Callithrix jacchus: one gene and its partner. The protein of the gene in region 2 interacts with the protein of the main gene of each other region in a pairwise test. Links are inferred from orthologs where the notes say so. Each region holds a gene or a part of one and is shown on either strand. Other genes may lie near its edges. The genes, in order: ANP32B and KPNA5.

Region 1 (16,522 bases), on a different chromosome or scaffold from region 2:
CTGGGTTTCCCATGTTGACCAGGATGGTCTTGATCTCTTGACCTCGTGATCCATCCACCTCAGCCTCCCAAAGTGCTGGGATTACGGGCTTGAGCCACCGCGCCCAGCCCTCTTTATCCCTTTTCAAAGCTCTCCACTTATACTTGTTTTTTTACTTGTTTTGGCTAGGGTTAACTTGTGGGCTTACCAAAACTGGGGCTAAAACGAATACACAGTGCAAGAAAGAGGAGTGGATGGAAGTGGAAAATTAAAAAATGGGAAGGCCACACATGGACTAAAATAAGCATCAGGTTCTGATTAAAGCCTATCACCAGATGCAGCTGTACAACCGAAATACGCCAACTCACTTGCCACTATAAAGCCTGACAGCAAATACAGCTTAAATGTGACTTGCCACTCACTGACAGGTTTGAGGAGTCTGCAAGAAATTGATTTATTATGGTCTCTGTGTCGTCAAACCTCTCCATTAACGTTAATCTGAATTTGCAGCCACTCCCCTGCACTAGTATTACCGCCTCAGCTTCACCTCTGATCATTAGGCATTAGATTCTCATAAGGAACACACAACCTAGGCCCCTCACACATGTGCAGTTCATGATAGGGTTAGAGTTCCTCTGAGAATCTAATGCCACTGCTGATCTGACAGGAGACGAAGCGCAGGCAGTAATGTGAGCAATAGGAAGTGGCTGTAAATACAGATGAGACTTGCCCACCCTTCACCTCCTGCTGTGTGGCCTGGTTCCTAACAGGCCATGGAGCAGTACTAGTCTGTGGGCTGTGGGTTGGAGACCCCTAAAGTAGGAAGACTTAAGAACAGCAGAGTGGCAAGACTGTAAGAGTAAGTAAGGGGTTTACAGTTTAATAAGCACAGCATCTTAACCTAGCTTGTAGGCTTCAGGAAATGCTTCCCAGGCCAGGTTCAGTGGCTCATCCCTACAATCCCAGTACCTGGGAGGCTGAGGTGGGAGGATCCCTTGAGGCCAGGAGTTTATGAAACAGGCCTTAGCTATAAATTTAATGGAATGCCTACATTAAAAAAAAAATTACACACACACACACAATTTTCCTCAATAGTAAGAACATCAGGTAGCTTGAAACTGCCTGTCATGTGAGATGGAGTGCAATAGGGCATAATCATGGCTCACTGTAGCCTCAAACTCCTGGATTCAAGTGATCCTCCTACCTCAACCTCCAGTCTCCTGAGTAGCTAAGACTCCAGGTGTGCACCACCACACCTGGCTGATTTTTATTATTATTTTCTGTAGAAACAAGGTCTTGCTATGTTGCCTAGGCTAGTCTCAAACTCTTGGGCTAAAGCAATCCCCTCGCCCCAGCCTCCCAAAGTGCTGGGATTACACGTGTGCCACTGCGCCCAGCAAGCATCCAATAGCTTTCAACAGAGGCTTTCAAAGGCAGACATCAAGTTCACTGGATGCTGAGCCTACTCACCTTCATCCTCCTCCTCTTCATCCACACCATCCACCTCGGCATCTGAGTCAGGTGCTTCCTGGTCCTCTCGGTCATAGCCATCCAAGTAGGTAAGCTGGGGCAGAAGCTTGAAGACACTCTCTCGGTAGTCATTCAGGTTAGTAACCTCACAGTTAAATAGGTCCAGGCTTTTCAGACATTCTAACTTTTTCTGAAGAAAAGGATCAAAAGACACAACTCCTAAACAAAAGGAATATAAGTAACAAACCCATCTCTTGAAGAGGTAAAATTCTAGGCTCTATATTCAATTCCTGCTACCCACTCAGTCTTGTATACAGAAAAACACATCAAGTCTTTGCAACCTTTATATTAGGTTACTAGACTTTAACTAGTCCCTCTCTTTCTCTACTTACTCTCCCAGAGAACTGTATGTTTTTCTGGCAGCATAGTCTAAAGAAATATAAAATGAAAATAATTTTTATCATATCCAGATTATTTTCACAGTATGAGACAATCAAACAGTTTAATACATTTTGTTGAAACAAATGTTAACATTTGCATAATCAAATGGCCATTAAAAACCTCCTGGGTATTAAGTAGTCTCTAATATTCTGAGGCGATATTATAGGGAAAAATTCAGAGATTTATAACACCATCTCAAGGTACTTACAATTTTACTTAGGGCACAGAGATGAAACACTAGAGGGTGAAATATAAAATATAAAGTGTGGCAATGCAGCTATTTTCAGGGAAGACAGGAGTCAACACAGGCTGGAGAAAATGCAGAGGGGTACAGAGTTGAAACTTCAGAAATATGGAGAAATACTGCATTCTTCTTTTTTAATTGTTAGGAAAAAGACTGACATGTTACCAGACTTTTATGATGCAGTTCTTCTGATTTTACTTACTATACCTTGAAATTTTGTTGCAATACCTCATTTCTTTGGAACCATCAGTTTCATCTATCTAAAAACAGTTAAGCTATAAAAACTTGGGGCTCAAATCAAGTTTTCTGAGTAGTCAAAGTGCATAGGAAAATGTCTATGTATTTACTAAGATCTTCGTTTGTTATTATGTCAGTCTACTAGTATTTCAATCCCAGGTCTACTTGGTTTTGATTAAGGGTAAAATTAAGAGATTGAGGGCAGAGGTACTACTACAAGCAAGTCAGGAGATAGCAACAGGAAGTGACAGCAGACCCCTGTAGGTAGAAGAGGGAGAAATCTATGAAAGGCAAACCCAATGTGAAGTAGCACGTAGCCTGGTGCCTTTCAGAATAGGGGCGATAAGTACATCTATCTAGATAGTTTCATAAACACAACCTTTAATGGTTCTGAATCAAGAGAAAAACTTGATTGGTATTCTCTAAGAAAATAGTACTAGAAACACCCAAACAAATATAAGAGGACCGCCACATGAAGTAATTTCTAAAAAATAAATGTTGATGCTGAACAGGCTTTGCTGCTTTATTAGGAAAGCTGGTACAACACTCATAAGGACTTGAGAAGAAATGCAGACAGAACAAAACAGGTTATTTTCAGAACTCAAGGTATCTATGTTGTTCTGAGGAGATATAAAACAATGTGAAAATCTGCCGCAAGGCTATAGAGCAGGGGTTGGGAACCCGTGTTCCAGTGGCCAATTCTGGCCTACCACCTGTTTTTGTAAAATAAGCTCTATTGGAACACAGTCACACTCACTTGTTTATGTATGGCTCCTTATGTGCTAAAATGGCCAAGCAGGCTAGTTGTGACCGAGACTAGATAAAGAGGCTACAAAGGCAAATGAACCTACTATCTGGCCCTTAGAAAAAAGGACTCCTGACCCCTGCACATGAAGAAACTTCATCTTCTTGATCAAGAAAGAGACCCCCACACTTGTTTTATTCATGCAGGGAATAAATACAGCAGGGTTAGATCAACAGGCAAATGTTGCACCCGTCATAACATAAATGTATAATGATCCAAGAGTCTGTGGATCAAACAATGTGCTTATATAGTCAGTTCCCTGATGTCTTAAGAAAGCTCTCCCCAGCCCTTCTGGTCATAGAGCTGCTTTTGTATCATGTAATTTTCAGATTAGGTTCCCTTCTGGTCAGGCCCTGACTTCCAGGAGCCCAAGTATGACTTCTTGCCAAAGAGGAAAAACTGCTGCAATGCCACCCCAGACAGGTAGCTAGCATACTGGCTTTCTCTTCACAAAGGCTGACTCTATGCCAGCTAAGATAGAACCATAAGTACATTTAGGCAGCTTTTCCAAAAAGGTTCACTCTCAAAATTCTCCACTTAAAGGACGAGCCAATTGCATTTCAGATTTCCTAGAAATAGGTGTACAAAGACATACAACCTCAGATATTTATCTAATGCTTTATAATACCACCAAAAGCCCTTTTTTCTCTCTCTAGTTTCATTGACTCTTCCAGTATACAGGGCCTCCAAGGCTCTTCTGTTTCTGAAACTGTACAATTATGTGAGATTTTTGGCTACTTCCTGGCAAAGCACCCATTATCAAGTAATTTGGACATGCCAATCAGTAGGTTGGAAAATGAAATGAAAGCAAGTAAACAACAAAAATCCCAAATAACTATAGTAATCTGGAATTGTTCAAAGTAGTAAAATTGTGCTTTAAGGCCCAATAGGCACAAGATACACTACACACAGATTATTCAGGATCCCAATGTAATGTGTAAATACTGATTAAAAAAATTACAACTCTACCATACCAGAAATTTGATGTAAGGTAATAAGCTAGCCATAATAAACATTAAACATTTTATTAACAATAATTTTGCTTGCCTTCTTAGAATTTAGAAGGGCTTTGGGGGATGGTTTGGATGGCCCAGGTCTCTTAAAAAAGGTGTCCAAGGAAGTTTGAATTGATGCCTTCTTTGTCTCTCGATTAATGTCCCTGTAGCAAGCAGAGGCATTCACAATCATTGCATTGACTGTAAGAACTGGGCTCAAAGTAGACGGTGTTCAAAATGTATGTGGTTAATGAGGATGAGGATGGTGTTTTTCCCCACTGAAGAATACTGCCAGAAGTCAAAATTGACCCAACATTTCCCCCCTTCACCTTCTCCTACAGATTTACTTAATTCCAAGGAATCCGAGTGCCAAGTACAGCAGAATGGTGGGACCCCAGGCTTTTCGAAATAGCTCTGGTGTGTAGCCCTGTGGCTCCAACACAGGGTGTGTGACTCTGGACAAGGGATTCAGCCTCACCCAAGCCTTAGCTTCCTCAACATAAAATAAGGGCCATGTTATTTCTATCCACTTTACAGCGAAGATTTTTTTTTTTTTTTTGACAACCACCAATAAAACATAAAGCACCCAGTAAGTGTATGGGTATAGCAGATCCTCTAAAAATGATAAACAATGAAGATTATTTTTCATCCTTCCACTGTCCTGGGGGACTGAGACTTTCACAGCCATCAGAGGGTCCTCTCATACATTACTGACCAGATCAGGAAAACTCAAGCAAACAACTCCCACACAGTATTTGCTTCTGCTCCATCTCTGTGTGCTACAACACTGAAAAAGGCTGATGATAATCAAAGAGAACTCAAGTTGCCACCAGAATTAGGTAATGGCTAGTCATCAACTGTGAAAAGGTACTGCCTGCTACTCTGTTTTTTTAAAAATCTAGAAAAAAAGGGGAGAAGAGTTTCTTATGCTCACAACAACCTATGATTAGTGTGTCTGTCACTAACCAATAAACATAGGCTTGGTGTAGCCCATCTGAATGGGAAAGCATCAGCAGTTAAAATTTGGTGCTCCTGTTGAAATCTGGGCATGAAATAAATTACAGATGGAAAAAGAAGAACAGGTCCCAAGGGCTATGGAAAGCAGAGCAGACTTGAATTCTTTTTTTTTTTTTTGAGATGGAGTCTCACTCTGTTGCCCAGGCTGGAGTGCAATGGCATGATCTCGGCTCACTGCAACCTCCGCCTCCTGGGTTTCAAGTGATACTCCTGCCTCAGCCTTCCAAGTAGCTGGGATTACAGGCACCTGCCACCACGCCTGGGTAACTGATCCGCCCACCCTGGCCTCCCAAAGTGCTGGGATTACAGGCCTGAGCCACTTGCCCAGCCCAGACTTAGATTTGAATTCCTACTCTGCCATTTACCCAGAGCAGTGTACTACAATGTACTACAATGAAATGTACTACATTCTCCAAACTCATCGCTTCCTCATCTCTAAAAAGAGGACAGTCATTCTCTCTTCTCTGGGTTACTTAAGGATACAATGGGCAAATGTTAATGTCCTTGGATACAGTAAAAGTCAATAAATGTCGGCTTAAACACTGGAAATGGGGGTTGGTTTGAAGGAAACAAAACTAGTAAGAGCCTGAGTATCTAGGCAAACCTGTAACAGGAAAAAAGGGCAAAATTCATGGAGCACTGGTGAGGCATTACATTTATGAGAAATAGGAGCTCTTAAATATGGACAACTTAATGAAATGTAAAAATAAAGAGACTCAGCCGGACTTGGTGGCTCAGGCCTATAGTCCCAGCACTTTGGGAGGTCAAGGTGGGAGGATCACTTGAGGCCAGGGGTTTAAGACCAGCCTGGCCTAACATCTCTCTCTAAAAGAATACATATATTATACACGCAGAGATTCAGTAAAAGGTAATTGAATCTGTATTGGAGCAGAGTCTCAATAATTTAGAAAGGAAAAGATCTTCTAACTCGACAGGAAATCCTTTTCATTAAAGAAGGTACAATTTAACTCCGTCTTCTCCTGAAATATCAACAGAGCATTTTACACAATTGATGTGAAATTCACATATTTTAATATACTCTGACATCAGGACAGAAACAACAGAGAAGAAATGTCTTACCCTCTAGGGTCTGTTCTGGATTCTGAAAGACAGCTCCTATATGCTATATAACCCTCTGCCAAATAGCAGAGCCTGTGGCACTGGCCCTACAAACTGCATTAAGCCCCTTATCTCCAGTCCTGCCTCTGGAAGCCCTTTTCTGGCCTCTACAACCTACACACAAACTGGACAAAAAGCAAAGTGAGCAGATTACCTTATAAAGCAAATAAGTACATTACTTTATCTTATTCTCAGAACTCCTATGTGAGGTAAGTAAGGCAGAGATTGTTATCCTCTGCTATAAATGAGGAAACTGAGGCCCAGAGAGAAGAAGCAGTTTGCCCAAGGTCACACAGCAAGTCTACAACCCAAGTGGCACTGAAACTTAGCTTTTCCTATCTTATCCCAATATGTACGACTGAAGAGTATCTTGAGGTTTCCATGCAAAACTCTAGGCACAGTAATCCAACTAGAACACAAGGTCATGAATTAGATGACCTAAAGCTTAAAATGGAGCTGTCTTTTATTGTTCCATCTACAAATCAGGTATGCCACACAATATAAATAGCCTTTTCTGTTAAAGTATAAAAGTGCATAATGGCTTGGGCAGTCTGGGGAAAAAAATTGTAAGAGACATGTTTAAGGCTATATAGTCAATACATAAATTTCAGAAGTGGACGCAAAACAAAACACCCCCAAAAATCCTCTTCTGAAGGATGCCATCACAGTATCAGGCAGGGAAAGAGTAAAGACACAAGAATACATCTAATTAGAGAGGCCCTGATCTTTAAAATTGGGACTTCTATAAAAAGTAAAAAACCACAACTTTCTCAACCAATTATTATTGCCAGTAATTTCCCCCACTATAAAGAAATATGAAAATGAAAATGACCAGTAAGTCCCAGTTTCCAAATTCTTAACTACTTACCAAAGGTTCCAAGGTGCTGATATCTTTCAGTTTATTTCCACTTAAGTTTAGATGTGTGAGATTTGGAAGTTTTTCAGTTAACATGTCCAGACCTCCAAAGATTCTATTTTCACTGAGTTCAAGCTGCAAGAGAAAATGGACACAGCACAAACACAAATACACACAGAGAAAACACACATCATTTAAGGTATTGTAAGTAAAAAGGACTTCTCAAATATTTATCAAGATCAAATAATCCCTATTTCTATTAAGGCATGCATGTTCATTTTGTTTAAATCCAAATAATTAACAGGAGAAGGTAAGGTTAGAAGTATTGTTTTCCTAGTCAGCTGCTAATAACAGCTTAGTCAACAACCGGTCTCTAACATCAGTGAATAAATTTTCTAACTTAAAAAGTGGTTCAAAACCAATTAGAATTATTTGACAATACCCTATACCTGCCAGAAAGGGTAAATGGTTTAACAGTCTGTGCATTCTGAGCAGCTTATTTTGTGGACCTTCAAAACTTGCAACGCCCACTTGAAACCTTATCTGGTTCTGGACAATGCTGCCATACATGGTGGAGTTCTTGAAGCCACCAGGGAATGTTGCTCTGAAAGCCACAAGAGAGAGACGGGCCCTACAAATAAGTGCATAAAGCAGCAGCCTCAGGTTTATGAAACCAGCTCCTTAGAGTCCACATCTTGCATAAACTTGGCACTAGCCTTTATTAGAACCTACTCTAATTTCTTAGCTGCAGGTCAAGTAGCACTTGCAAGTAGTGTGCCAATGAGGGAATGAGCCTTCACCAAGGAATATTAGAATCTTAAAGTAGAAGGAACTGGAGCCTAGAAAGCATTGTGAAGAACAACTAATTCAAGCTTTTCCTTTAGCAGACAAGAAAAACTCAAGCTACACAGCTGATTCTAATTATCTATTTTAAAGTGCCAACAACAGTAACATTAACCCTTACATAGTATTTAAACGCCAGGCACTAGAAATACCTTAACTCATCTGATCTCACAAGAACCCTATGGGGTAGGCAGAATTACCACTCCTGTTTACAGATGACAAAAATAACCATAGTGGGCTTACAATTTGAAGCCAGACAGGCTGGCTTCATAAATATCCATGTCCTCCTTATTATGCTACATACTTGGAATAGCATGAAAGTGTCATGTAATGAAGTTTTTGGCATGCAATGAAATGTACTACATGATGCAAAGTAGAGTAACTTTTAAAAATATAAGTATTTGCTGAAAACTTAGTCAAAAAAACTAGTCAACTGCTTAAGGTGTTATTAAATATTTCAGAAGAGGAAAATATAACATTTTAAAACATTTTTTCCTTCCAATGGGAAATTTTCCATGAAATATCTAGTCATGGTCTAGGCTTAAAAATGTGTCTATGATCAACAGTCGAGTGTTAGCTTTATTAATTATTTCAGTACATCAAAATAAAAACAGATCACTTTTCTTGACCCATGTTTTAGACCATGTGGTTAGAAATATTACATACACATGTAACATCCACATCCTTTCAACATGAGTATCTTAGGGAGTAGGAATAACAAGGCAATATACTTAAACATTTATTACCATATGTATTTTGGAAATGAAATCGATGTTTAAATTTAGAAAACTGACATTTATATACCATTTTTTTCAGTACTTATTTCTTGTTAAAAACAGTTTGTGGGCTGGGCATGGTGGCTCATGCTGAATCCCAAGACTTTGAGAGACAGAGGCAGGCAGATCACTTGAGGTCAGGAGTTCAGGACCAGCCTGGCCAACATGGTGAAACCCCGTCTCTACTAAGAAAAAAAAAAAATACAAAAATTAGCCGGGCGTGGTGGTACGTGCCTGTAATCCCAGCTACTCAGGAGGCTGAGACTGCAGTGAGCCAAGATCATGCCACTGCACTCCAGCCTAGACAACAAGAATGAAACTTTGTCTCAAAAAACAGTTCACGTTCTGGGATAGGAAGAAAATAAAGTCCTTATCAGTCATCAGAACACTCAACCTGCCTTTAAGTATGATTCCCTCTCATTAGCCCTGTAAAAGAAGTGATTAATGTTTAAATGTTAAAAGTTTTAAATTCAGGCTGGGCACGGTGGCTCACGCCAGTAATCCCAGCACTTTGGGAGGCTGAGGCGGGTGGATCACGAGGTCAAGAGATCGAGACCATCCTGGTCAACATGGTGAAACTACGTCTCTACTAAAAATACAAAAAATTAGCTGGGCATGGTGGCGCGTGCCTATAATCCCAGCTACTTAGGAGGCGGAGGTCGCAGTGAGCCGAGATCGCGCCATTGCACTCCAGCCTGGGTAACAAGAGTGAAACTCTGTCTCCAAAAAAAAAAAAAAAAAAACTTCTAGTTTTTAATTCACGTACTATACTTTTTAAAAAAAAAAATCGAGACAGAGTCTTGCTCTGCTGCTGGAATGCAGTAGCACGATTTCGGCTCTCTGCAACCTCAGCTGCCTGGGTTCAAGTGATTCTTGTGTCTCAGCCTCCTGAGTAGCTGGGACTACAGCCACGTGCCACCATGCCCAGCTAATTTTTTTATATTTTTAGTAGAGACGGGGTTTTGCCATGTTGGCCAGAAGGGTCTTGAACTCCTGATCTCAGGTGATCTACCTGTCTCAGCCTCCCAAAGTGCTGGGATTACAGGCGTGAGCCATGGCGCCGACCTCATGTATCATACTTAACCCATCCCACTTCCTGCAAAACAACAAAACCTTCATTACAAAAAAAAAACTAACTGTCCCTCTCAGAACACAAGCAAGCTCTGGGAACAGCCTACCTTTACCTAAGTTTGATTTTATTTCCTTCTATGTGTGACTTCGTCAAAAAAAGGTACAACTTAAGTTTCCTAGTACAGTGAATATTGAAATGGCAGAGAATTCTGCAATACTTATATAAGCACACATTTTTTCCTATATAATGGAAAAGGTATGAGGTTAGGAGAGATATGGGTTCTAGTTTTGGCTCTAGTACTAACCGTTTCTGTGGGTGGCTTTAGGCAAATTACTATACTTTTCTGGGACTATTGCTGTGTCTGTAACATAAGGAGCTGGGTTAGAAGAGCAAAGTTTTTTCCAATTCTGATGTCCTGGGACTCTGTGACAGTTAAATGTGCAATGACAAAAGAAAACATTTTTCTGTAGCATTTGGTCCTTTTTTTCGAAAGGATAAAGAACTGGTTTTATAACAATTAACAAATAAATTACTCACAAAACACAGTAATTATTCTTCCTAACTATTTACTGAGCACCCGACATGCATTATTTCCAAACATCACAGCAATTCTGCAAGGTCAGGTAATGCCACCAGTTTACAGGTGAGGAATTTGGGCCTTAGAGAAATTAAGTAACCTGAAGAAGATCACCCATCAAGGAAATGATAGAGCTGGAATTCCATCCCATATCTGCCCAGTTCCAAAGGTCAAGTGCTTTCTGCTATACTAAGTGCTTCCTTACAGGTAAAATCATACATTTTCCCTTCCCAGGTTTGTTCTCTTTTACTGTTAAAGGAAAAGCACCTACCTTTTTCAATTTAGGCAGCTTGGGAAGATTTGAAACTGAAATCAAGCCTACATTTATTAAACTGAGGAACTCTAAGTTCACAAATTCAGCTGTTAAGCCCTCAATTTTTCCATCATTTGATTTGCAATTGTCCAAGACAAGTTCTCGAACCTGTGGATGACAAAAAAGAATAAGCTCTCAGAAAAATTTCTGAAAACAAAGAATGCAAAAACTTCCACCATAAATACCCTGCAAAAACACCCATATAATATGGGCAGCCTCTTAGACTTAGAGCATAGTTATAAAAAGATAAAAAATAATTAAGCCTTCAGTAGCAATATGCTAACAGATTCAAAGATGGAATATTACTAGCATAAAACACTCATGTTCCAGAAACGGACACTATACTTTAGATGTAAGTGAAGTAAGTGTATTCCCCTTATTTCTTTTCCCCAGTCTGTTCCCCAAAGGGCAGCTTTCATTTAAATGCAAATACAGAGTGAAAACACTCTTTAGGCTAATCTACCTTAAGTCCCAGAAGATGACCACAGAAAAGAGGAAAGCTTTATTTTTCCTACCAAGACCACTAAGAGATTCTGGCTAGAGATTTCTGTACCAACACACTTTCCAGCTCTGGTTTTATTAATCTTTGCCAAGATTATCTTGACACCGGGAAGAAATCAGGATGCAAGAGTCCTTAATTCAAAACAAAAATCGATCTGGTTTGCACATGAGAAAGATGTTTCTAGAGAATTGTTAGATAATAAGTTTTCATTTTCAGGCTACATCTGGCCAGGTACAGTGGCACACGCCTGTAATCCCAGCACTTTGGGAAACCAAGGCGGGCGGATCACCTGAGGTCAGGGGTTCAAGACCAGCATGGCCAACATGGTAAAACCCCCTCTCTACAGAAATACAAAAATTAGCCGGGTATTATGGCGAGTGCCTGTAATCTCACTACTTGGGAGGCTACAACGGGAAAATTGCTTGAAACCGGGAGGCGCAGTTAGCTGAGACTGCACCATGACGCTCCAGCCTGGGCAACAGAGTAGAACTCCATCTCAAAAAAAAAAAAAAAGCATCACATCTGATGATTTGAATTTTTGAATACTGATTATTTAAGAGTCTACATGCAGATCTACCACAATAATTCATATTGCCATTCTTGATCACCCTGAAACTTGCAACTTTTTTAGCCCACTTTGATCTACTCACAGTGATGCAAATTACCATTTTAACTGCACCAACAAAGGCGGAATGCCTTTGTAAAGAATTTTAGTGAACCTACCATATTTAATGGCATTAATCAAGCATGTATATGGGAGATGCTAATACTCTGAAAAGAGAACAGGAGCTATTAACAATGTCCTCATCCTCTCATACAAAATCCAATGATGTTACTCTAATAATTGCTTTCAATTATGAAGTAAACATTTATTCTTTCTACCACCACTCTCCTTCCCCCATTTATAGAGAAAGAAACAGATTTCAAGTCAGCAATACCCATAACATAGTAAGTGCCTAACCACTTCTCACTACCCTGTCTACTTCCTCTTCAGAAGCCAGGCATACATTTTACTCTTTACATCCACATACTTCCTCCCTCCCTTCCTTCCTTCTTTCCATTTTTCTTTAGATATCTCTGCCATTCTTCCCTTTTAAGAAATGAGCACATCTGAAAAAATAGGTCAACTCTGACAAAAGCTGGGCTCTGGAAACAAGATGTCTGGGGTCGAATCCTGGTTCTCCTCTGCCACGCAGAACTTGTACAACTTTGTGTAAGTCACTTCACTTCTCTGTGCCTCAGTTTCCCATGAAGTGGACATAACAGTACCTACCTCATGAAGTTGTAGGAACTAGGGCTTGGAACACTATAAATGGCCAGAAAGTAAACTCTGGGTAAAGGGAATGGGAAATGTCAGAGACCTTTGCTGTATTTTTATATTTGTATTAAATTTTTTACAAGCATGTATTTATTGTTTTTTTTTTTTAAATTCTGTATTAAAAAGAAACTAGGCTGGGTGCGGTGGCTCATGCCTGTAGTTGGGAGTTCAATACCAGCCTGATGATCATGGAGTAACCCCATCTTTACTAAAAATGCAAAATTAGCTGGAGGTGGTAGTGCATGCCTGTAATCCCAGCTACTCAGGAAGCTGAGGCAGCAGTTAGTTGAGATGGCACCATTGCACTCCAGCCTGGCCAAAAGGAGTGAAACTTCATCTCAAAAAAGAAAGAAAGAAACTAAACCATTAGTTTCTAAACTAAACCATAAAACCAACAATCCATTAAACTTTTAAAAATGTCAACTGTCATCACCCACCCATATAAAGCAGTATACTGTAATACAATCAAAATGTTCCCATTTAGCTTGGGAGATTTTCTATAATTCTGTCTAAAATAATCCAAAAATGTTACACAAAATGACCCAATATCCAAAAAGTAAAGTGACAGTTGGCCATATTGCCTCCCAGCTCATGGAGTGAAATCACCTCTTAAAAGACTTTTCTTTCAACTTGCAAAATTCCACTTTAACCATTGTAAAGGTGTCATCAAAATGTACCAGAGGAATCAAATGTGGGTTAAAACATGTTTTTCCTGGCTGGGCATGGTGCCTCACACCTGTAATTCCAGCACTTTGGGAGGCCAAGGGAGATGGAGCACCCAATGTCAGGAGTTTGAGGCCAGTCTAGCCAACATGGTAACTCCATCTCTACTAAAAATACAAAAATTGGCCAGGCGCGGTGGCTCAAGTCTGTAATCCCAGCACTTTGGGAGGCCGAGGCGGGTGGATCACGAGGTCAAGAGATCGAGACTATCCTGGTCAACATGGTGAAACCCCGTGTCTACTAAAGATACAAAAAATTAGCTGGGCATGGTGGCGCATGCCTGTAATCCCAGCTGCTCAGGAGGCTGAGGCAGGAGAATTGCCTGAACCCAGGAGGTGGAGATTGTGGTGAGCCAAGATCGCGCCATTGCACTCCAGCCTGGGTAACAAGACCGAAACTCCGTCTCAAAAAAAAAATACAAAAATTAGTCAGGCATGGTGGCATGTGCCTGTAGGCCCAGGTACTCAGGAGGCTGATGCAGGAGAATTGCTTGAACCTGGGAGGCGGAGGTTGCAGTGAGCTGAGATTGTGCCGCTACACTTCAGCCTGGGTGACAAACTGAGACTGTCTCAAAAAAAGAGTCACTGCTAGACTAAGCTTCATAATGGCAGGGTCATGTATATTCTGGTTACCACTGTATCACTGAATATGAGCCTACGTAACTGCTGAATGAGAAAAAAAGGGCCACGCGTTTGTCAGCAATACTGTACAGGGGTCTGTGTCTTAATTGTGAGGGACTAAGATGAAAACTTGGATATAAAGGGGACCAATTTTCTGATTACAGAGTATTTTTCAACGGCTAAAGAAATTACAATGTATGGTTATCACTTTATAATCCTTCCTGTTGAACATTTGTGCTTAATTTTCCCCACCATATCTGTTTACTTAAAATGTCTTCTGTATTTAAGACTGTCTTTAGAATCCATTGCTAAGTGAAAGAATACAAACTTTTGAGTCTGTTATTAGTTAAGACATCAACTTCTCTTTTAAATGAGTAGTTAACTTTTAAGTGCTGCAAAATATTTTCCAACTGATTTGACTGTTACTTTTCGTAACTTCTCGATTATGGAAATTCTGGCTATTTGCATTTATCTTGTTCTTGAGGGTATCTTCTATTGTTTTTACCCTAAGTAAGAAAAAAATAAATACCCCAGTAGAAACACTTAAAAAAGGCAGACAAGTTCTGAAAGACACAAATAACCAATACTAAAAAATATTGTTCAAGGCCAGGTGCTGTGGCTAGTGTCTACAATCCCAGTACTTTGGGAGGCAAAAGTGGGAGGGCCACCTTAACCCAGGAGTCCAAGAGTCACCTGGGCAAGATGACCTTGTCTCTATAATAAAGTAAATAATTAGCTCAGCATGGTGGCACGTGCCTGTAGTCCCAGCTACTTGAGAGGCTGAGGCAGGTGGATCACTTGAGCCCAGGAGGTCCAGGTTGCAGTGAGCCATTATCATGCCACTATGTTCCAGCCTGGGTGACAGAGACCCACTTTAAAAAAAAAAAGTTTGGCTGGGCATGGTGGCTCATGCTTATAAATAATCCCAGCACTTTGAGAGGCCAAGGCTGGCAGATCACCTGAGGTCAGGAGTTGGATACCGACCGGCCTGGCCAACACGGCGAAACCCCATCTCTACTAAAAATACAAAGAAAATTAGCAGGCATGGTGGCACGTGCCCGTAGTCCCAGCTACTCAGGAGTCTGAAGCAGGAGAATGCTTGAACCCAGGAGGTGGAGGCTGCAGTGAGCCGAGATTGCACCACTGCATTCCAGCCAGGGCAACAGCAAGACTGTCTCCCCAACCCCCCCAAAAAAAGTCTGACTATAACAAAAAATGTGTATTAAAAATGAGGTGTCATTCTATTCTTATTGGAGGTGGGACAGCTAAAAGAGATGGCTAGGGTGGATATAAACGTAGGTGAGTTTGTTAAGTGACAGCGAGAAGTTCGGGAAATGTATACCTGAGACCTTTAATTTCCTCTAGTAAGAGGCAACAATATATACTGAAATAAATAGGGCAGAGAGCTGTTGGGCTAGGCAGAAAAGGCATGTCCCTTGACTTTTTCAGGAAGGCTGAGAATGTAAACAAACATGTATCCCTACAACAAAACACCAGAAGCATAGTGAGAAGGTGAGCCAACTGGGGAGTCAGCACAGAGGAGAATGGGCATTACTGCATAAAGCAGAGACCACGGGAGGGCTGCACCCAAGGATAGCAGGTCTAAATATTCCATCAGCCAACTTCAAGGTAGTTGGAAGTTCTCGACAGGACTTTGGTGAAAAGGTATTCCGTGCTCAGGTATCATTTCAGTGGCAAAAAAGTGGCATTTGAGGTGCAGAAAAAGTGTATTTATATGTGCAACACACATATACATGTATACTCACACTCAGTAATAAATAATTGAGTAGTTAGAATTTAGGGCTTATATACCTAACTTAGAAGAGGAAAGGATAGGAGAAAAACCTCTTTTGGGAAGAACAGATTTCTTTAGGGAACACAAATGGGATTTTTAGGAGAACAAATGAGAGATCAAGTTTACAATGTCTGTCTCCATAGGTATGAGTGGTCTTTATTTTCTTAGGGCCATCAGACTATCCCCTTCCCCTTCAGAGGTTTACTCCTGGCCTCTCTCCTGGGAACAGACTCACTCCAAAGGGAAAATTTATGTCAGCCCTCATTTATGACATGTATTTGCTTTTAGCCAGATAAACTCCAAGTAAGCTTCTCTCTGCATCTGTTGAATCTTAAATGTCTTCAGTTTAAAATAATCTTTATATCAACTCTGGGGTTCTCAGTGGATCACCAGAGGTAACTAAGCCTCATCTCTTCCTCATTCCTTCCTAGGTACAGAGATCCAGACTGCCTTGCAAAGGAGACAACAGCTTTGGAAGAGTATGGTTGAGACAGTTGGGTCAAGATGATCCCACAGCTTCCCAATCTGGATTCAGAATAAACCAGAGATCCTAATCCAAGGAGAAAAGGCCGTAATTTCTTCTTATATCTCAAATCCTCCTAGGGCTGCTGTCTAATAAAGAAAAGTTAGGCAGACACTTGTTCATTTGTGCATACATCTTCATCTATTTGATCTAAGAGTTAACTGGTCTTCTGCTTGAAGATGGACAATTTAACTTTTGGGGCCAAATTCACTCCTCTTCTTCCCTCAGCCTCCAATTAAACTTGCCTTTTCTCTCAGCCTCCAATTAAACTTGCCTTTTCTCAAACACAAGTTTAAG
Region 2 (16,522 bases):
CAATCTCCTTCAGCTCAGCTCTGATCTTAGTAATTTCTTGTCTTCTGCTGGGTTTTGCGTTTTTTTGATCTTGCTCCTCTAGCTCTTTCAATTTTGACGATAGGGTGTCAATTTTGGATCTCTCCATTCTCCTCATATGGGCACTTATTGCTATATACTTTCCTCTAGAGACTGCTTTAAATGTGTCCCAGAGGTTCTGGCATGTTGTGTCTTCATTCTCATTGGTTTCGAAGAACTTCTTTATTTCTGCCTTCATTTCGTTGTTTACCCAGTCAACATTCAAGAGCCAGTTGTTCAGTTTCCATGAAGCTGTGCGGTTCTGGGTTGGTTTCTGAATTCTGAGTTCTAACTTGATTGCACTATGGTCTGAGAGGCTGTTTGTTATGATTTCAGTTGTTTTGCATTTGTTGAGCATTGCTTTACTTCCAATTATGTGGTCAATTTTAGAGTAGGTGTGATGTGGTGCTGAGAAGAATGTATATTCTGTGGATTTGTGGTGGAGAGTTTTGTAAATGTCCACCAGGTTTGCTTGCTCCAGGTCTGAGTTCAAGCCCTGGGTATCCTTGTTGATTTTCTGTCTGGTTGATCTGTCTAGTATTGACAGTGGAGTGTTAAAGTCTCCCACTATTATTGTGTGGGAGTCTAAGTCCTTCTGTAAGTCATTAAGAACTTGCCTTATGTATCTGGGTGCTCCTGTGTTGGGTCCATATATGTTTAGGATCGTTAGCTCTTCTTGTTGTATCGATCCTTTTACCATTATGTAATGGCCTTCTTTGTCTCTTTTGATCTTTGTTGCTTTAATGTCTATTTTATCAGAGATGAGAATTGCAACTCCTGCTTTTTTTTGCTTTCCATTAGCTTGGTAAATCTTCCTCCATCCCTTTATTTTGAGCCTTTGTGTATCCTTGCATGTGAGATGGGTTTCCTGGATACAGCACACTGATGGGTTTTGGATTTTTATCCAATTTGCCAGTCTGTGTCTTTTGATTGGTGCATTTAGTCCATTTACATTTAGGGTTAATATTGTTATGTGTGAATTTGATACTGCCATTTTGATTCTAAGTGGCTATTTTGCCTGTTAGTTGTTGTAGATTCTTCATTATGTTGAAGCTCTTTAGCATTCAGTGTGATTTTGGAATGGCTGGTACTGATTGATCCTTTCTATGTGTAGTGCCTCTTTTAGGAGCTCTTGTAAAGCAGGCCTGGTGGTGACAAAATCTCTGAGTACTTGCTTGTTCGCAAAGGATTTTATTCTTCCTTCACTTCTGAAGCTCAGTTTGGCTGGATATGAAATTCTGGGTTGAAAGTTCTTTTCTTTAAGAATGTTGAATATTGGCCCCCACTCTCTTCTGGCTTGTAGTGTTTCTGCCAAGAGATCTGCTGTGAGTCTGATGGGCTTCCCTTTGTGGGTGACCCGACCTTTCTCTCTGGCTGCCCTTAGTATTCTCTCCTTTATTTCAACCCTGTTGAATCTGACGATTATGTGCCTTGGGGTTGCTCTTCTTGCGGAATATCTTTGTGGTGTTCTCTGTATTTCCTGCAATTGAGTGTTGGCTTGTCTTGCTAGGTGGGGGAAATTTTCCTGGATGATGTCCTGAAGAGTATTTTCCAGCTGGGATTCATTCTCTTCGTCCCCTTCTGGTACACCTATCAAACGTAGGTTAGGTCTTTTCACATAGTCCCACATTTCTTGGAGACTTTGTTCATTCCTTTTTGCGCTTTTTTCTCTGATCTTGGTTTCTCGTTTTATTTCATTGAGTTGGTCTTCGACTTCAGATATTCTTTCTTCTGCTTGGTCAATTCGGCTATTGAAACTTGCGTTTGCTTCATGAAGTTCTCGTATTGTGTTTTTCAGCTCCTTTAATTCATTCATATTCCTCTCTAAGGTATCCATTCTTGTTATCATTTCCTCGAATCTTTTTTCAAATCTTTTTTCAAGGTTCTTAGTTTCTTTGCATTCATTTAATACATGATCTTTTAGCTCACAAAAGTTTCTCATTATCCATCTTCTGAAGTCTAATTCCGTCATTTCGTCACAGTCATTCTCCGTCCAGCTTTGTTCCCTTGCTGGTGAGGAGTTTTGGTCCTTTCTAGGAGGCGATGTGTTCTGGTTTCGGGTGTTTTCCTCCTTTTTGCGCTGGTTTCTTCCCATCTTTGTGGATTTGTCCGCTGGTCGTCTGCGTAGTTGCTGACTTTTCGTTTGGGTCTCTGAGTGGACACCCAGAATGTTGATGATGAAGTATTTCTGTTGCTTGGTTTTCCTTCTACCAGTCTAGCCCCTTCGCTGTACGACTGCTGAGGTCCGCTCCAGACCCTGCTTGTCTGGGGTGCACCTCTAATAGCCGTGGCACAGCGAGGGATGCTACCAGTTTCTTTTTCTGCTCTCTTTGTCCCAGGATGATGCCTGCCTAATGACAGTCTTTTGGATATAGAGGGGTCAGGGAGCTGCTTGAGGAGACAGTTTGTACTTTATAGGGGTTTAATTGCTGAGCTGTGCACTCTGTTGTTCATTCGGGGCTGTTAGGCTGCTATGTTTGATTCTGCTGCAACACAGCTCATTAAACAACCCTTTTTTTTTTCTCAAATGCTCTGTGTTGAGTGGTTTGGGCTTTATTTTTGGATGTCCGATCAGGTGTCCTGCCCAGCTCAAAGGCAGACTAGCCACTGTTTGGCTGCCGAGGCTCTGCCCTGCTGTTGTGTGATTCGCGCTGTTCCTGCCGGCTCTGCTGTGGTCTCCGCCACGCCCTGCGGCGGAGTCTCTTCGTTGTAGCGTGTTGCCTCAGCAACGGCAGGCTGCGTCAGCAGTGGGCGTGTATCTCAGTAGGGACGGGTTGCCTCGGCAACGGCTGGCTTCGTCAGCAGTGGGCATGTATCTCAGTTGGGGCGGGTTGCCTCGGCAATGGCTGGCTGCCTCAGCAGTGGGCGTGTATATCAGTTGGGGCAGGTTGCCTCCGTAGTTGTGGACGCCCCTCCCCCACAGAGCGTCTCGGACCGTCTGCCCGGGATAGTTTGAAATCGCGGTTTTGTTCGTCCCACTGGGTATCCCAAACGATCTGTCCCTGCAATCCCCTGGGCTGGGCTACTGTGCAAGTCTCGTTCAGTCTCAAGTCCAGCCCTCTCAAGTCTCAGGTTTCCGGTTCAACAAGGCACCCGGACAAGCGCGCCCTGTGGGGATTGCTGGGTAGGGCCGGCCGCCGCCACCCCGGCTGCCGGCTTCGCCAGGCAGACCTACTGCCTGGCGTCCCGTGTCTTTTTATACTTGGGAGTTTCCCCGTTCTGTGGGCAACAAAGATCAGTCTGGAAATGCAGCACTGACTCACCGTTTGCGAATTCAACGCGGGCTCCAATCCTGGGTTGTTCTCACAGCGCCATCTTGAGTCCCCTCCTATTTTTCATAATTCTATTTTATCTCCTTTGTTGGTTTTAGAAAGTAAATGTGTTTTTAACCAATAATAGCATCTGTTTTTGTTCTGTTAGGAAACAACAATCTTAAAAATGGAATGGACACATTTATATAAATGCAATTTTTAAATATTTTATTACTTTTTAATATAGTGCTATAACATTTCATAATATTGCATACTGCTCAAAAGTTGTTTTAATTAATAGGGTAAGAATATTTTCTCTTCTTACTCCCCAGTCAGAATTTAAACATATACTATCCTTTTAGAGCTCTATTATATTGGCTCCTAAAATGTCACATTTCATAAAACAGTAATGCTATAAACTAAACTGAATAAAGGTTTAAGAACAATTTGATTTCACAGTTTCACAAGCAGCCAGCAGATTGCTGAATTGAGAACAGCAACAAAAATTCACTAAGATTTTTTAATATTTATTTTTCCATAATGCTCCTTCTTAAAAAATATGAAGGCAAAGGTAATATATGCTTCTTCTAGTCCTTTATCCAATAAATCAACCTTTAACTGCAAATAGGTTTTACAAATGATATGTTAGTTCTGTGCCAGCAGAATTTATTACTTTTTTGCTTTCTTGTTCTGGTGTTACCAGTAAGTTGACCAAATGACACTAAAATGTAAGGACACTACCACTTGAAACAACTTTTCAAAATAAGACATAGTAAAAAGACCACACCAGTGAGTCAAGTCCTTACAAATATAAAACAAGCAAAATTGCATAGATTAAATAGGAGAAATTCAGGTTCAGACAAAATAAAACACCAAGTTTAATTAAATAAATGAAAAGGACTCCTTCAAGTATTTTCTTGATATTTGCATTAATGCTACATGCATTACTCTTTATAATACATTTTTTTTTTTTGGCATAGTTTCTCTTGGATTTAAATACAACAAATCTTAGAAAAACAAGTTTAAAAACGTATTTTTTTTCCCTCCACAAGGGCCAGTGAAGACTAATGAAAACATATTTTGGGGCATTTTATTTTTTTCTTTCCTTTTTTCTTTTTTCAATTTCTTTTTTTTTTCTTTCTTTCCTGGTCAGGGCTCTGCCTGATGGAGCATTTTAAATGGTATACCTGAAAAGAGTAGCTATATATTTTTTAAATTTTATAACTAAGTATTTGTTAGTCTTGATCCAATAAACTCAAAACAATAATCCAGGCCAAGAGCTGGTCCCAACTGCTATATAGTGCTCTTTGCAATCAAATCTAAAATTAATTACCCAAATAACGTATTCATGGGAATAAATATAAATTTGTACTTAAATGCTTATGAAGTATAATCATAGTCCATACTTAGAGATACGTTTTACTGGCAAAATTTAAGTTTCCTTTCATAGGTCTTTCTGTGTGCATGCATGAGCACACACATATTTATTATTTTTCCTTCTTTAAGAACTATTTTGTTTGAAAATTTGGGCTTAGAAATTTATTATATTGACTACAGGGTGCTCAAAATAAAAGGAGGCACAGCTGGTTAGTTTATGAATTATGCTGCATTATCGATTTTAATTGCCTAGAAAGAGTAGAATACCCTGTCACCTGAAACTTAGAACCATCTGCACCACAAAAATGTTTATCCAATAAATTCACCATCAATTCGGTACGCTTTAATATAACTACCCTGTTTTCTGAATATAGAGTTATGTAAAAGAAAACCATTTTATACTCAACTATATACTTTCTACTATGAAAAAAAAAGGACAGATACAATCTTCTACTTAACAACAATAAAAAAGGGCTGGCAGATGCAGTCAGCATTAGGGACACCATTTAAACCTATATCTTACAGCTGTAGGTTTTAAGTGTCTTGTTAACAGCTTAGTTTCATGATACATAATTTACAAAGCGACATGTTCTTTAAAAGTACTCCTATAAACATTTTCCTCTTGGAACGTGCCTCTGATTTCCAGCAGAAACATTATAAATACTATCATAAATGAAATCTTTCTTTAAAGAACAGACCATGAATCATATCAAAATTGCCTTAGTTCTCATCTTGAAAGTGTTGTAAACTAAATTTTAAATTAGTATTCTAGGTTTATAATTGGAAATGTAAATAGCCTATGTAGAACTATAAATTAAAAGACTGAGTTCGACAGTAGTTGAACTGTACGAGTAACACGCAGATATATATGTATACATAAATAAATATATATATATATAATTTTTCTATTGAAACCTTTCTTTTAAACTTTCAGTTTGAAGAGGTTTTGCTGTTAAATCATAAAACATACATATTGACCAATCTGACATGAATGTAATCTATAATTCATAACAAGCAGCAGTATAACCCTCTGAGTATTACTAAAAGAAAAAAAAGTCTATGATAGATTTGAACCATATTAAAGAATCCTTAGCAATTTTCATTATCACCATCATTTAGCATCCAAATGTTAAATGCATTTAATAAAATTTAACACATTTCTAATAACAGTAGGTTATTTTTTCAGGATAATTTTGTCATTCAAGTACCTAAACTTATTATTATATAGAAAATGAAACTTTTCAATTACTGCTCTGAAAAATCAGAGAAATAATCTAAGTTATTTTAGATATGCAGCACTATTTTAGATTCATGATGACATATCTGTCATGATGCTATTTAAAACAATGAGTGAAACAATAAAACACTATTTCAAAATGGTAGCATATTTGGTTGAAATACAAAATATACTAATATACATAACACATATGTGAAAAACACAAGTATTTAAACATCTTGTAATCTTCTTAATGTGTTCAACATGAAGAACAGCTTCTCTCTTCGCAATTGCCACATTTTAATGGATTATCAGTACAATATTTCTTCTATGTTTTATAAATAAATTTTATAGGTTTTCTGTTGCCATTTTTTTTTGCAAAATATAACCTACAGCACAGTGATATATGTAATTTAAGGTAAATATTTTCACATTCTAATTTAGCATTTGCATTATTTCATGCTTCTGAAGCTTTTTTGTTTTTATTTCTGCTTCAAGATAGAGGTAGATTTAGTAGAGATTGGGTGTGTAAGACTTACTGCCAAAATGCAATTATCAATAGGTGCACTGCTAATGTGCAGTTTCCAAGAATGCTTGAAAAAATTCAGAATTACTAAGTAATACTTTACCTAAGTTCTCCTTTTCAAGCTTAAATTACTAAAGAGTTGCATATTCAATTATTCTCAAATAGATACAAAAATCCTAACAATGGAAGATATAAATACAGGCACAACAACAAGACTAAAACAACAACAAACTACAATGAAAGGTTGCATCTGAATGAAAATTTTTGTTTCATTTTGCTTTCTAAAAGTGCGTCAAATTATCTTTTCTGTTCTATGTAAAAAAGCAAAAGTTCTTACTGACACTGGCAACAAAGAGGAGTTACCTGAAGCTACCCTTTTAGCCATACATTTTTTTTCCCTCCACCAAGTTAAAGTTGAAATCCATCCATTGGAGCTTCCTGCTGCTGAAATATAAACTGTTGTTGGTTTTCATCCACCTGCGGTACAATGCTGGGATCATCTTCTTCTACACCAAAGTAATGTTCAATCAGATCAAATGCCTTCTGGTAAATTTCCTGATTTTCATGGCTTTGTAAAAACTCAATTTTATCCAGACCTATTATATAAATGTATATATTAAAAACAAACTGTTACTACAATTTCAGTGTATGTTCAAATCAATATAATAAGTGAACATCATCTATCACCTCATTGGCAATGGAACTGCTATTTTAATCTAATTTTTGCACATATCAATAGCCATCACTTATGATTTATACTTCAAGAATGAGAGTATGTGGCAGTGTGAGATGAAGAAGGACCATAGGCCTGGGAGTAAGAAGATCACAGACACCACCCTGCTAGGTGTATGATCTTGGCCAAGAAAGTTCAGTACTTCTGTACTTTAGTTTCTCAACTGTAAAATGACAGTTTTAGATTAAGTAACTCCACAGGTCCTTTCCAGAGTAATTAACAAAGCACAAAAAAGGAAAGCAACAAAACAAATGAAAAAACCAAAATATGCTGAGCCAGAGAGTATCAGTATGAAATAAATGTGTAAAATTTGTAAACCCAGACAATAAAAAACATATGGCTGCTGTATGATGTAATAGAATTACAATCTGCAAGTGAAACTGAAAGGCCTCATTTTAAAAAGATGAGGATAATCTATAGCAACCGATTTTACTGCTTACAGGAAAAAGCTCTACACATAAGTCTGGGTAGTGCTGAAGATACATTTCATTTAATTATAGATAAACCACACATTTCAATCAGATTATCATAGAATAAAAAAAGCAGCAAAGCAGTCATATCTATGTACAATAACAGAATAGCCAAACTTGGGGCCAAAATAATGACCATAGTAAGACAATATTCTTAAATCAGTGACTAATATGTTGTATTCATGTAATGTCTAAGCCAGATATGTTATATAATTTGAAAGAAAATCAAAGTGGTGTCATGGGCATTAAGAATCATAAATAAAAGTCTGAATCAGCCATACAATGTAAGAGCACGTACTACAGAAAAGTGAATATTTAACGCAAATAAAAGAAAATAATCAATTTAGATTCATGTTTTATCTGAAATAAATTCCATATGATCAAGTTAAATGTTTTAAGAACCTAACTTTAAAAACTTGGCAAATAAAAAAATTAATTTTCATAAAATCTCTATAAGACAATGACTTTGTAAACTTCACAAGAACAGAAAATTCGCCTGAGTTATTTATGTTAAATACCAACGAACATGGTTTCTTTTGTTAAAATAAAAACATATTCAATGAATGATCTGAAAATAATAAAAAATAGACCAAAGGAAAAGTCATATCAAAATATACTATAAAATAAAATTCAAGTTTTTACCAAAAAAAAAAAAAAGAGTCAAATAGATCACCAAAGCAATATAAATATTCAATTTGGATGAGGAAATAGACTAACTGGTGAAAAATACATACTACTGGTCAGGCACAGTGCCTCATACTTATAATCCCAACATTTTGGGAGGCTGAGGAGGGGGGATCACAAGGACAGGAGTTCTACACTAGCCTGATCAACATGGTGAAACCCCTGTCTCTACTAAAAATACAAAATTAGCTAGGCATGGTGACACATGCCTATAATCCCAGTTACTCGGGAGGCTGAGGCAAAAGAATCACTTGAACTCGGGAGATGGAGGTTGTAGTGAGCTAAGATTGTGCCATTGCACTCTAGCCTGGGCAACGAGAGTAAAACTCCATCTCAAATAAAATTTAAAAAAAAAAAAGAAAAGAAAAATACATACAACTATCTATAGGAAATAAACCAAAAAATGTACCTAAAAGCAACTTGCTGTACTATTTTACATCGGCTGAGTCAGCAAAATCAACAAATCAAGTATGAGGTGGGAGAATAGATTCATATAATGCCACTGACACTATCAGCAACAGGCCTTTGGAAAGCAAAATAAGAAGACATATCAAAAGCTTAATAAGAAGACTCAGCAACTAAGACTCAGCAACTTATTCCTGAAAATTTACCCCCAGATATTAATTCCACAGAAGAAATAAATACTTTGGTATACATAAAGTGATAAATTGGGAACCACCCAATGTTCAACAACAGGTTATGGTTAAACCTGCATTCAAATGGCTAAAATCTCACTCAACATATAACATTATGGCCAGGCATGGTGGCTAATGTCTATAAGCCCAGCACTTTGGGAGGCTGAGGCAGGTGGATCACTTGAGGCCAGGCGCTCAAGACTAGTCTGGCCAACATGGTGAAACCCCATCTCTACTAAAAACAAAAATTAGCCAGGCATGGTTGTGTGCACCTGTGCTACTCGAGAGGCTGAGGCACATGAACTGCTTGAACCCAGGAGGCAGAGGTTTCTGTGAGCCGAGATAGCACCACTGCACTCTAGCCTGGGAGACAGAGTAAAACTGTGTTCTCAAGAAAAAAAAGTACATATATATTATATATATGTAAACACGTATCTATTTTTATATATGTATATATTTATATATGTAAATATGTATATAGTTTATGTGTATATATGTAAATATTTGTGTATATAATATAAATACATGTTTGCATGTATAAATGCATTATTACACATAATATGCACATATTCACACACACATATACATATAAATGTGTATATATAATATATGTAAATATGTATATATATTGTGTGGGAATGTATATATATTTATACATAAATATATATGTGAATGTGTATATATTTAAATATATAATATATATGTAAATATGTATATATTTATATGTAAATTTTATGTGTATGTATGTATATGTATATATACATATATATATATATATATATATATAAAACATTATGTGGTCATTATAATAAATACTATGTAAAAATGTAAAATTTCTCCAAAATGTTAAAAAGTAGAACATAAAACTATATTTATAATATGATTAGGTCAATGTAAAGTATTTGTGCATAAAGACAATGCAAAAAGAACAGTAAATAATAAAAATAAATTGTTAGGGTAATAAAACTATGGGTGACATTTTAAAACTTAAAAAAAATTATAGTGCTTTTACAACAAAAAATTTACAGGGAACTGGAAGGGGAAAGTATCTAAGACAGACAGTTAAGAACTATCAATAATTATAAATTTTTAACTGATTACTTACCATATGCTTCTTCAATGAGAGCACAGTATGGATTAATGCCTATTCCGTTCTGCTTAGATTCTTGTTCTCCAAGACGTAAAATATTTTCAAGTCCATTTAAAGCCACTTGGACTATTTTGGAGTCCATAACAGTCAAAAGATCACAAAGTGGTTTAATGCAGCCTAAGGCTACCAAATATCTTCACATTAATTTAAAAAAGAAAAAAAAGGGGAAAAAAAGATTTAAAAAGATTTAAGTACTATTTCTAGCAATGACACAAAAATATTCTTCATAGTGAATTGTTAAATAAGCAATTAGAAAAAAGTATTCCTATACAAACAAACATTAGACACATTTAAATTCTCACATAGGAAAATGAAAACTTTATTCGCCTATTCTCTAATTGAATATAATTAGCAACAAATGGTCTTGCAAATACTATAAAATACCCACACAGACTGGTACTTGTGCTTGTTTTTCATGGCAGATGTTCAAAAGGGTTTTTATTTTATTTTTAAGGCAAGCCTACATACACACACACAGAGGTCATATGGGGGTAGGCAGAAATGGAAAGAAGAGACTTCTAAATTAAACTTGAGAAAATTTCCCATAAAAACAATCACAGCTAATGTTCTGAAACATATGCTGTGTTTCAGAAGCACAGAAAGCCTCTAGAAACAAAACAGTCTATCTTGTGAATAATTTTCATAAATAATATTCACAAAAAATTCCATTAATTTCCTAACGCGTGTCCTTTTCTAGTTATTGGCCGGTTTTTTATACTCTATGATGTAAATGAAGTAACTGATTTGTTCACTTGGCAAAAAGTCTGTATTAAGTAGAAAGGTTAAAAACATACTATGAAGCCGGACTATGTGCCTTCAGATCCCAATTCCACTCCTTATTAGTTGTGTGACCTTGAGCAATTACTCTTTGTGTTTCAGTTTCCCCATCTTAAAATGGGAATATTAGTACCAACCTCAGAGAGTTTTGTGAGAACGCAATAGACATTTAATAGAAGTTTCTGTCCCTCTAAAAATGTATATACTTTCACCGCAGCACTCATTTGCCTTACACTATACTGTAGTTGATCAAAAATATCTGTCAAATGAATAACTACCTCACAGTTATGAGATTAAAGGAGATAAAATACATGAAAGTACCTAATACATTGCTGGTGCTCAATACTGAAATGATTTACTTAGCACAGTAACTGGCAATAGTAGGCACTCAACTAGTAGTATGCATACAGAACTTAATCTGGTATCGAGAGGTCTTTTCCCATATATGTAGACTCAATGAAATGATTAAAATGGTTAGAAAAATAATTATCTCAGTTTGGCACTTTAACTATACTGATAAATTAAAGGAATAACATACAGAATAGATATAACCATAAAAATTAACTGAAAAAATATATTTGCAGATAAACAAACGTGCAGTCCAAATAAAAATAAAATCAGCATTAAAAAAATAAAAACTAGAACAAAGGAAGGGTCTTGATTTATTACTGCTTGTATCAATGACACAAAGTGGAAATACTGATTAAAGCAAAAAGATAGTAGAATAGAAAATAAAAGGCAGAGATAGATGTTACTAATATATAGCGATACAAATTTGAGAGCAAGGTAATACTACAAATGAAGGCAAGACAATGATTTCACAATAAATTTCACTATAAAATAGCATTGTAATTTGACCTGTTTTATAAATTGAAAAATAAATTAAATATCCATTAGAAAATATTTTCTAAGAAGTCTAGTTTCATGGAGTGATTCTCCAAAGAAGACGATTCTGTACAAGTAAGGATTTTTTTAATAGAGGTGTAAATGAAACTTTGCTATGAAAAATAAAGAAGAGTCAAAGTACATGATAAAAAGAGATTCAGAAATCAATACTATAGTACAAATCATGACAATTACAAATAATGATAACAGTAGCTATTCTTAGTTATTATCTACTAGCTAATAATAATATTTAGGCACTGTACTGACACTTCAAAAACATAAATTTCACTTAAATATCAAAATACAGTCCCTTGGTTTCATCGGAGACTGGTTCCAGGACACCCTCCCTCTCCATACCAAAATCCACAGATACTCAATTCCTTTATATAAAATAGCATGGTATTTGCATACAACCTATACATATCTTTCCACATATTTGAAATCATCTTTAGATTAATTATAATAGCTTACACACTGTAATTGTTATGTTAATAATTGTTACACTGTGTTTTTAAATTTGTATTATTTTGTATTGTTGTACTGTCATTTTTTACTGTGTTTTTCTTTTTTAATATTTTTTACCTGCAGTTGGTTGAATCCACAGATGCAAAATGTGCAGATATCAAAGGCTGACTGTACTATTCGTTACTGGCACTCATTTTTAAATATGAAGAAACTAGATTAGAAGGGTTAAATGACTTTGTCAAGACCATACAACTTTTACTGAAGGAGCAGGATTTGAAATCAGGCTAACTTAAAAGCCCATGCACCTATTATTTATGCTGTCAGCAGAATAAATAAATTTAAAAAGCCTAGACTCAAAAAGCTAATATATATAGATATACTTTAAAAAGGTAACCAGTATAGAAAAATAAGAGATACTATCCATAGGCAAGGCTAACAATCAATGAGGAGCAGATCATCATGTAAACAAATGTCTATTTCAATTTTATTTAAAATGGATATTCAAATTTATTAGCCATTTCTATATAATAAAGCTATATTGTTGTGATTTTAATGGTTTAAAAAAAGATTTAATACCCATGATAGTGTACTCTGCAAATTAACATAGACTGTTCCCATTCAAATTTTTAATCTCTCATTTTTCATAAGAAGCCTATCAAGGAGAATGATGTTAATTATACTTAAAATGAAAAAAAAATTGTGAATGAATAATTGATATAATACATGCTATCATTTCAGATTAAAAATGCTTATCAAACTGACTTAGAAATAATATTTTAGTTTCATCAGTAAATAAAAGTATATTTTATTTCAACTTTTGTCTCATTTACATTTAAAAAACAATTAAAAAGTTTATATCATACCTTATTTGCTCTGGAGTACCTCCTGATGTTGCATTAGTTATAGCCCAAGCTGCTTCTTTTCTGGTACGGAACTCTGCTTTCTGAAGAATCTCAATCAAAACAGGAAAAATATTTGCATCTATAACAGCCTGAGAGGGGGAAAAATATATAATCACTACAAATACTGTTTCTAAAATATTACCAGTAAAAATATCTTGAAACCCAATAGCTTCAAAATTTCAGGGTTTTTGGAAATACCTTTCCAAATATTTTTTATTCCTAGACTGTCAGCAAACTTTCAAATATTTTTTCTTTTTAGGTAGGAAATTAGCTTTTCAAAGACTGGAGAATAGCAAAATATAAATTTTAGAGATCATAAAGCACAAGGTATGTGACTGATTAAAATGGATAAATAATTACTGACCTAAGAAGCTTGATAGGACCCTAATAAATCATTAAAAGCTTTGAGAGGAAGATTATTGCCTAACTTATTTAAAACTAGTGCAAAAAAAATCTTTCTAAAGACAAACCGTTATGTATCAGGCATTGTGCTAGGCGTGCACGTGTAGAATATAAGTAAATCTTACTATTTTAGAGGAGGAAAGGCCATGGTCTTTAAAATACTTTTTAGGTATCTTTTTAAAAAGAATTTTTTTTAGAAACTCACTGAAAAACACTGATAGACTTTTGTCCAAACGGGCTTCTTAGACCTTGCTGTTCTACTCTCAGATCTGAAGGGTATTTACCTGAATCTGAGCTCTATTTCCAGCAGTGATGTTAGAAACGGTCCAGCAGCCTTCTTTTCTAATTGACTCCTTTGGGCTACTCAATAAATGTAAGAGACAGGGTAATGCAGAACAATTCAAAATTACCTAAAACAAATTAGAAATGGAAACAAAAAGTTTTATAGTAAAAAATCTACATGAAAATCTACTAATGAATTATTTAGATGTACAAAAACAATTCTACAAAATAAAGAAAGGAGAAATTCTTCCCAAAGTAAAACTTGCTGTCTTCTACACTTCTGTTATTGATAAACCTAGTCTCGTGCCACTATAAAGAAGTGCCCTGTTCTCAACCCAATAAAATGAAAATCAGAGGTACGTCCTTCAAATTTACAAATGTTCTTGGAGTTCAACTGATAAAACTTTGAAAAAAGATTTGGTGATTGAAGTTAGAATCCAACCTCTAGTTTTGTCAAATGAATTGGTGAACATATAAATATATATCATACAGTCTAATACTGGAACCATTAAAAAACATTAGCATGTAGAATCAATTAGCTTCATAAAAAATTTTACTATCTCACTCTTCTTCTGTAAACAAGTATATTCTGCATTGTCCCTTTACATTCTTTAATCATAATTCTTTAAGATTAATTATGTTCCTATATTGGAAATACTCCAATGATTTACTTTAGATTCATCTGGTTGAAGAAGTACGGAGCAGTGCACTGGAAATCCAACTGAAAATTACAGTGCATGTCTAGAATGGCATTTTCATTTAAAGAGCTATATTAAATGAAAAACTGTCAATTACTAAAGAGCAACTGTTTAATAACTTTGATTAGTATCTAAATAGGCCTTTAAAAGGATAAAAAGGAAAGAAAATATGTAGGTTAGAATAAAAAATATACTGTAAGGTGGTAAACAAAGGAGAATCTAATATGTTAAAGAATTTAAGTTTCTATCTTCAAGAAAGATTGTGCTGGGTATGGTGGCTCATGCCTGTAATTCTAACACTTTGGGAGGCTGAAGCAGGAGAACTGCTTGAGCTCAGGAATTTGAGACCAACCTGGGCAACATAGCAAGACCCTGTCCCTAAAAAAAATTTTTTTTAATTAGCCAGGTGTAGTAGTGCACACCTGTGGTCCCAACTACTTGGAAGGCTGAGGTGGGAAGACTGCCTGAGAGGGGGAGGTAGAGGCTGAAGTGAGCCATGATCACACCACTGCACTCCAGCCTAGGGGAAAGAGCAAGACCCTGTCTCTAACTAACTAAACTAACTAACTAGCTAAATAAATTAATTAAAGATTGTAACCCAAATCTGGCTAGAGTCATTCTTGATGACACATCTTCTTTGACATCTCACCATCCTCCAAGATACAGATACAGACACACACACAATTGTGGTGATGTTAAGTCTTGATTAATATGCAATCAAGTCATATGAAACATAAATTTTTTAAAGTCCATTAGGTCAACAATTTATAATACTTAAGTTTGAACTCACCTGTGTTTGAATATCATCACCAGTCACAATATTACCAACTGCCCTTAATGCAGGTGATACAACTTTATAATCATTGTGCCTAAAAATAATAAAAACACGAACCTAAATACTAGTAAGAATTTAAAATTTACATAAAAGTTACAAAAATAGTACAAACTCCTGCAGAGTTTTCAGCCAAAGATCCCACTGAAGTTTTACTAATTATTCTGATAATCTTTATAACAAAGAATCGAATCCAGGATTATTAATTACAGTCAGGTTCCATGTCTTTCCAGATTTCTCAGTCTTCCCTTGATTTTCATGATTTTCCCATTTTTGAAGATCATATGCCTGTTATTTGGGTTTATCCAAAGTTTTTCATGATTAAGACCCAGGTTTTGGCTGTTGATACCATCAGTGCTATAATCTTTTCATTATATCCCAATCTGTTTTTTCCCATTATAATGGTACTGAACTCTGGTCACTAATTATGATGATGTCTGCCAGACTTTTCCACTATATCATTACTGTTTCCCCCTTAATAATATAATTAATATTTTGCAACAAAATACTTGAGATAATGCAACATCTCATTCCTTAACCTACTTTTACCACTAAGTTTTAGCATTTCTTGAGGCTTATTGTCTGAAGTGTTGTTAATTATTAGTATTATTATCAATGATGTATTTCTAATACTATCATTCCAATTACATGCTTTAATGTGGACTTGGATTTCATATTTTATTCAATAAAATATATGTTAATATAATTTATTTCAAAGCTCAAACTGTCCCGGGTTTGGATAGTGAGAATCCCTTCAAACAGGCTTCTGCGTCCTTTTCACATTTCTCCATTACTTGAGCACCCATTACTTCCTGCACTCATCTTACATTTTATCAGTTCCATCCCTGAAATCAGTCATTTCTCCAAGAATACTGGTTCCTTTCAATGGAGAGTGGAATTTAGAAACTTAGATTTGAACATTCAGTTTCCTCAGCTTATTAATGTATAAGTGTTACTGCTCCCAGACCCTTTAAGAGGACACACATACACACACACATATATATTTATTTCTATACCTAGCTATGTTAAGAGCCATGAGTTCACACTGATATTTCTAGTTCTAATCTAAAAATCATTAAATTATTCAGGTTTTCTCATCTTCCATATTTTTATCTCCATTCTCTGATAACAGGAAATAGCTTCTATTTTCTTAACCTCCCTACATCAGCCAATCTTTTAC

The links.
Region 1: the proteins of KPNA5 (region 2) and ANP32B interact in binary tests that used the Homo sapiens proteins (3 or more experiments, as listed by UniProt). The two-hybrid records come from large-scale screens. The link is inferred for Callithrix jacchus from reciprocal best matches to the Homo sapiens genes KPNA5 and ANP32B.

The regions. Positions count from the first base shown.
Region 1 is NC_133502.1:146,117,600-146,134,121, reverse strand, and holds part of ANP32B (acidic leucine-rich nuclear phosphoprotein 32 family member B), read right to left. Parts: exon of another isoform or gene 16,134-16,522; intron 10,853-16,133; coding exon 10,703-10,852; intron 7,299-10,702; coding exon 7,176-7,298; intron 1,640-7,175; coding exon 1,450-1,639; intron 1-1,449. UniProt on the Homo sapiens protein: Multifunctional protein that is involved in the regulation of many processes including cell proliferation, apoptosis, cell cycle progression or transcription.
Region 2 is NC_133505.1:123,056,746-123,073,267, reverse strand, and holds the end of KPNA5 (importin subunit alpha-6), read right to left. Parts: intron 15,380-16,522; coding exon 15,301-15,379; intron 13,941-15,300; coding exon 13,815-13,940; intron 13,218-13,814; coding exon 13,090-13,217; intron 10,234-13,089; coding exon 10,055-10,233; intron 7,024-10,054; coding exon 6,836-7,023; 3' UTR 5,877-6,835; downstream 1-5,876. UniProt on the Homo sapiens protein: Functions in nuclear protein import as an adapter protein for nuclear receptor KPNB1. Binds specifically and directly to substrates containing either a simple or bipartite NLS motif.